2 linked regions of the Drosophila melanogaster genome follow. The protein of the gene in region 1 interacts with the protein of each later gene in a pairwise test. Each region holds a gene or a part of one and is shown on either strand. Other genes may lie near its edges.

Region 1 (3,434 bases):
CATGTCCGACAACGATGAGAACAGCGGCTTCTGTCTCATTTGCAATACCAACTTCGAGAACAAGAAGGAGCTCGAACACCACTTGCAATTTGATCACGACGTGGTCTTGAAATAAGCTACATTGCCTACAATAAGTAATTGTTTATCTTTCCCTAGTGTATTTCCTCCTCTTTGTACTTGATTATTGTAGATTCCTACAAAATATAATTTACTGGTATTTCAATTACTGCGTTTCATTTAGACAGAAGCATTTCCGATAATAATTGTACACTGTTCTGTAAAAATAATTGCGAATATATATATGATTTCATATAAACAACCTCTTTCAATACTAAGGGGGAAAAATGTAAAATATATAACAAAATTCCCTGATAAGGATTGATGCTGTCTAGTTTTGGCACGTCAAGGAATTTATATTGGTCTAATATCTCGAGGCAGTTGCTATCAGAAAGAAAGACCGCAATGGTCTGGATTAACTGATATCCATCCAGATAATGCACATGTTATCAATGGTGCTGCTATCCCAATCTCAGAAATGACAATTGAACTCGGCACTCGCACATCATTTTTTAACTAAAAGTCCGGTATATTAACGTTTACAAATGTGTATTCCGACCACGTTACAAGAACTCTCAAGAATCTTAAGCTTACTCGTTCTCTTGAGAACGCAGGCGACCGTTGGGGTTGGTGAGGCGGACCGACAGCTGCTTGGCGCGCTCGACAATCTCCTTGCGCTTCTTGGAGGAGACGCCGTGGGCGATCTCGCCGCAGTAAACGCGGTTCTGCATGAGCAGGACCTCCAGCTCGCGCACGTTGTGCACCAGGAACTTCTTGAATCCGGTGGGCAGCATGTGGCGGGTGCGCTTGTTCGATCCGTAACCGATGTTGGGCATCAGATACTGTCCCTTGAAGCGGCGACGCACTCTGTTGTCGATACCCTTGGGCTTGCGCCATTTGTGCTGCAAGGAGACATGTTGATTAAACACGGGTACAATTTGGCACAATCCTCGTTGGCACTCACCGACAGCTTAGCATATCGATCCGACTGGTGGCGGATGAAGTGCTTGGTGCGCTTCTTCACGATCTTGGGCCTGTATGCTGGGCGGATGGTCATCTTGAAGCTGGAAGGACACAACAAAAGTAGCCATTAGTGCACTGACCCACTGGAAATATCACTTATCAAGCTAATAACACACAAGGTGTCCCACTAATGCATAATTCAACCAGGTTGGGCTAGCTTCTTGGGCAGTATCCATTGAGTTTCCGGTGTGTCGCCCCACGAATTCCCATCACAAACAGAAGCCATTTGGCGAACTCTCACAGGAATCGATCCGAATTCGGTCGAAATACGAGCCGCACACTTGCGAACAGCGCACGGACTAACGCAGTTCAACTCGAAACCGCCAAAAACGACAATTACGGCTTAAAATTAATGGAAATACACGTGGGCCCAAAATCACGCACATACCTTGCCGGAAACCAGAAGCGAAAAGAAAAAGCTGGTGGTGTGAAAAAACATCGATACGTCGTGCGTCGATGATTCGCCGATAGTTTCGTTCATGGCGATGCCAAGCGATATATTGCGGATCATCGTGTAATGAATTTAAACTTGGGCGCGTCAAATAAGGTGTTGCAGGTTTAATCACTATCCGAGCAACTGCGACGATTGCAACTATGTGCAACAAAATATGGAACTATTTTCAGCTTGGTGGAGTTTGTTATATAATTAAATATGCTTTGCCTCTTGACCCACTGTGCAGTGTGAACATATTTCATTTACACACTGGATGCAACAGCTGTTCAATAGATGTTTTGCAGCACCGTCATCTGATAAAAAACGATAAGAAAGCTGGGAATGAAAAAGTAAAAAGCTGACAGAAGCGATCAAGGAGCAGGTGTTCCCGAGGTTTAGGAGGCTAATACAAAAGCATCCAAGTCGTGGATTTAGAGCACCCAATGCATACCAGCACATGATAAGTTTCTGATCCATAGGGTGGTCTTTGCGTCAGTGGAACAAGTACACAGGGTGATTCGGTCAAAATAAAGTGACAGTGCTGTTAAACGCACTGCTAAGAATATTTTAATTATACGGTGTTATATTAAGTTTGTAAATTACCGAAAAGGGCGAGTACAAAACTCAAAGCCGCCGCTGCTAATTTAAGTTCGACAATTAATTTTGGTTGGCTTGTGAACAATTTGGATAACAGAGTCCTTTGGTATGCAGCAGAGGTCCAGCGACGGTCACACTGGCCGTGGCCGTCAAACCGTGGTTCTTCTTCATTATTATATAATTAAAACCGATGCGAATCGAAACCAAAACAAACCAAACCAGCGCAATCCCCGTGTTTGAATAGTTACAATGGTAACGCGGTGACAAATGCGCACTTCTCCACACGCCCGAAATAAACACAGGACAGCAGCAAGATGAAAGACGATGGAGCACCAAACGTCGCGAAAACCACCGACCCACCGCCCCCTAAAAGGTTTCCATCCGGAAGAGCACACAGCCCACATGGAGACGGGGAGGCGGGGAAACTGCTGCATGGCAGCGTCTTCTCGAAGCGCTTCTTCGGCTCCTTTCAGTGGGAGGAGTTCGCCTGCGGCTGCGGAGCAGCCTTCGTCAACATCGCGGTCACCTATCCCATCTACAAGATGATCTTCCGTCAGATGCTGCACGGCGTGCCCATCACCTCGGCCTTTGCACAGCTGCGTCACGAGGGACTGGGCTTCCTGTACCGCGGCATGCTGCCGCCGCTCGCCCAGAAGACCATATCCCTGTCCATCATGTTCGGTGTGTTCGACGGGACGAGGAGGTACCTCGTGGAGGACTACCGCCTGAACGACTACGGGGCCAAGGTGCTAGCGGCCGTGGTGGCCGGCAGCGCCGAGTCCATCCTCCTGCCCTTCGAACGGGTGCAAACCCTCCTCGCGGACTCCAAGTTCCACCAGCACTTCTCCAACACACAAAACGCATTCAGGTGAGCTGACGGATCTTTAAGTTTGCTAATGGGATCTTCTTATGGCTTTTAATCATTCCACAGGTATGTGGTTTCCCACCACGGCTACCGGGAGCTCTACAGGGGACTCGAACCAGTATTTTGGCGCAACGGCCTGTCCAACGCGTTATTTTTCGTACTGCGAGAAGAGGCCAGCGTCCGGCTGCCTAAGAGAGTGAGTGTTGACCCTATCACACATACGAACCTACTAAGATACTAACCAATCCGTTGCCCATCCACAGAAATCCGTATCCACTCGAACAGTGCAGGAGTTCATAGCGGGCGCCGTGATCGGTGCGAGCATAAGCACAATATTCTACCCGCTCAATGTGATCAAGGTGTCGCTGCAGAGTGAGATGGGCCAGAGGTCTGAGGGCAGCTGGCAGGCGTGCAAGCGAATTTACGTAGAGCGCGATCGCCGCATTGGCAACTTCTATC
Region 2 (3,758 bases), on another chromosome or scaffold:
GATAGCAAATAATCGGCTGGTCGTGATTAAATGTAAAAATTACTTCCACGCTCTGGTAACACTGCATTGTATACCAGAAAAAAATGGTATTAGCATTAGCAGAGAAAAAATCAAATAAATAAAGAAAAAATCAATTAAAAGTGCGCCATTCCAAAGGATTATCCCAAAAGACGCGATCATCCATATCAGATGCTTAAGAATCGGCCGGAAAATCCGACATCGAACTATTAGGCTAGTGAAAAAGTGCAAAATAAACATTCGCCCAGTGGAGGGGGCCATACAGAAAACACTCGAGAGTCTTTCGAAAATACACATATTATACCACACGGATCGTTTTGGATCTACAATGGCCACCAGCGAGATCTCGAGCTCCAATGAGCGGCACTACTACGCCAAACTGGAGGCCATCAAGGACATCAGGGACAAGACGCTGTCGCTGGAGAAGCTCAAAGTGCGGATCATCAAGGAGGTGAAGCTGAGCGACGACGAGGAGAAGTGCCTGGAGGAGTACCGCAAGGAGATGGAGCACCTGCTCGAGGAGAAGATGTCGCACGTGGAAGAGCTGCGCCAGATCCACGCGGACATCAACGACATGGAGAACATCATCAAGCAGACGAAGGAGAACCAGACCCGCTCCTTCGACATGGCCAACCGGGTGTACGAGGAGTACCTGGCCCTGAAGTACCAGATTGATCACATGCGCCGCGACTATCTCGGACTAAGCCCGCTGCGAGATCTGCACGAGGAGGAGGGCAGTCCCATTTCGAAGGATCGCTTCCAGACCAACTTCCTTAAGGTGGCCGCCCAGTCGGCGGCAGCAGCAGCTGCTGCAGCTGCGGCGGCGGCCTCGGTTAATCAGAACTCGTCGTTGGCCCGTCCGCATGCCCGGCATCCTCTGATGCCGGAGGCCACGGTCACCGCGCTGCCTTCTGGCGGCGGACAGGGCGGCGTTGGTGGTGGCGGCGCTGCAGGCGGTGGCGGAGGATCTGTGGGCGGCGGAGGCGGTGGTGGCGGCAATCCTGGACACGCCTTCATGCCACCCGCACCGCCGGGAGCAGGCAGTGCTGCTGCCGCCGCCGCTGCTGCTGCAGTGCGTCTGGGCAAGGGTGACTTCTCAGCACCACCGCCACCGCCGCCGCCCAGCAATCGACTGCAGCAATCGCCTTCGATCGGCATCGGCCACCATCCCTCGTTCCGCTCCGACTTCAATGTGAATCTCCGCCAGCAGCCGCCGCCCATGAAGTCCTGTCTGTCCTGCCACCAGCAGATCCACCGGAACGCGCCCATCTGTCCGCTCTGCAAGGCCAAGTCGCGCTCCCGCAATCCGAAGAAGCCCAAGAAGAAGAACAACTAAGTGGCCACCGCTCCAGACCAGCAACTACACTCATCTTAAGTCCGGAGCTGGTTCCGGAAACTCAGCGCACTAAATCGAATGCGTTTTTTTTTTTTTGCCTCATCTATTTATTATTAATCCCAATGAAAAGTATTACAACGACGCAAGGCGGGTGTGCTCATGATTATCGGAGAAGATTTAAAAGAATGTCAAATACTTGCATTAATATTTTATACATTACTAGTGTATTTGAAAATCGATGAAGAAATTATTCATGACACGCCGGCCGCTAACAAATTCTCATAACAATTTTAGTTGGTAAACTCAATGAATTTGATTTTTATTTTAACTATAATCATAGGCTAAGTATTTTTTAAAAGCTCAAATAACGTGTCAAATTATCGAGAACAAAAATTTTGTTTATACATGTAAGCCATGCTAAATATGCAACTATGTTATATTTAAGCAGCAAAAAAAAAACACAAATATCAATAAAAATATTTCATTTTTAAATGGGTTCTTTTGGTTATAGATTAAATTATTTGGATTATTGGATTTGATTTTATATGTGTGTATTTTAATACAATAACTATAACTGATGTTTATATACTTGCATTATATTTTATACATTTTACATTTGCCATACATCGTTTGTGAACTAAAGAGTATTGTAGATATACAACGTACTAAAATTTAGATCCATGGTATTTTGGCCTGTCCCTGCACTTGGTCACACCTAGCTTAAGCCGAGCAAAAAGTTCGGATTTTTATTCAATTTTTTAATCCAGCCCGCAAAACAACAAATTCGTATTGTTTCAAATTGTTTCAATTGCAATTTTAGTGAAACATAGCAACAACCAGTTCAAATTGAACGCATCAGTGCACTTGGTTTTCTTTTTTTTTTTTGTTTTTGTGGATCAGTTTGTCGTTTTTGTTCTTGTTGTCGCTGCGTGCGTAGAATTTGTGAAAAGAGAAAGTTCTGCGCCGCGTCTTTCTCCGCCTCTCTTTCTCCAATTCTTCGCACAGTCGTGGCCAAGAAGTTGCGCCTGCGCAGCGACAATTTCACAAGAAATCGAGGTCGATCGCAAGTGGGTAAGTATCTTTCACGGAAAGTGGCCCAAAAAGTGATGTTTAAAGACTGGAACTAAAATAATAACAATAAATTAATTATATATCCTCGAAACTCTTTGCTGTATGTAGTCTTCATAAGAGTTTTCTTTATAGGCCACCGTTCTTTATTCGTTGATTTAAAATACGTAAAGCTTATCTTCAATCAGTTAAATGTGCTACATCAAATCGTGTTACTTTACTTAAAATATTCATATATATTTTAATATATTGTTATGTGTTGTATATTAGATATGCTTGTTATGTTATTGCTCAGCGTGCCACTATTTCAACATATATTACGCTAATATATTAAGCTAATTAATTATTTCATAATTGCAATTTTTTGAATAATCGTTAATGTTGTACTACCAATATACATATGTTTATTATGTTATGTTGTTTTTTAAAAGTTGTCCTCTTTCCATAATATTGTTAGTAAAACTACTTCCGAATTATTCCGTTTATCATAACAATTTTGCCCCCTTCCCTTGCAGTAATCCGATTGGAACACCATGGGCACCACGCAGACAGTATCTCCAGTGGCTGGAAAGGATAAGACCAACGATACCTCCAAAGGATCTCCCTCGAAGGCTAAGTCCAATGGCCACGCGCAAGGCAAGACCAAAAGCAAGGAGATGAACGCTCTGCCGCCCCAGAAATCGGTGGTCATTGCCTATCTATGCTGGCTTTTCGGCGGAATCTTCGGCCTGCATCATCTGTACTTGCACCGTGACCGCCACGCCTTCATTTGGTGGTGCACCCTGGGTGGCTACATGGGCATTGGCTGGATGGGCGAGCTCTTCCTGATACCCGAATATGTACGGGATGCCAACGAGGATCCCAAGTTCGTCAAGATGTTCGTGGCCAAGCTGCAGGCGTATCCGAAACCGCCGTACTCCTCGAAGAGATTCGTGGGCCAGGTGATGATCGGCCATCTGTTCGGCCAGGTGTGCTCCATGGCCATTCCGGAGACCCTGGTCGGTGGCTGGGATCTGAGCTTCCTACACTGGACGATTCCGCTGTTTGTTTCGCTGGGCGTTTGGCTGGTGGGCAACATTGGCCGGGAGCAGGGTGTATGGTGGCACTGCCTGGTGGCCGCCTATCTGGCGTATCCGGCCAGGTATTTGATATATGACGAGACCTACTCCCTGCTGCTCACTGGTCTCGTGGCGGCACTGACCTTCGACGGCTTGTCCAAGCAGTGGCGCAGGACTCCGCCGCGCAGGGGAAGCCCCGGTGAAAGGACCTTTAAGCTAACCACCGCCGTGATCATCTACTGCGCCTTCTGGGGCAGCTTCCTGTATTTCAACGGCAC

Evidence for each region. Proteins that work in one complex are often made in the same cells at the same time.
Region 2: the proteins of RpL32 (region 1) and wus interact in a two-hybrid assay, tested with the Drosophila melanogaster proteins (one large-scale study listed by BioGRID).

Annotation. Positions count from the first base shown.
Region 1 is NT_033777.3:30,044,666-30,048,099, forward strand, and holds RpL32 (ribosomal protein L32), read right to left. Parts: upstream 1,476-3,434; 5' UTR 1,257-1,475; coding exon 1,225-1,256; exon of another isoform or gene 1,197-1,224; intron 1,122-1,196; coding exon 1,022-1,121; intron 960-1,021; coding exon 648-959; 3' UTR 564-647; downstream 1-563. Other genes in the region: Sry-delta (serendipity delta), read left to right, coding at 1-115; CG7943 (uncharacterized protein), read left to right, coding at 2,425-2,978, 3,042-3,171, 3,239-3,434.
Region 2 is NC_004354.4:16,939,171-16,942,928, reverse strand, and holds the start of wus (wurst), read left to right. Parts: upstream 1-2,055; 5' UTR 2,056-2,425; intron 2,426-2,937; 5' UTR 2,938-2,955; coding exon 2,956-3,758. Other genes in the region: CG13001 (uncharacterized protein), read left to right, coding at 347-1,354.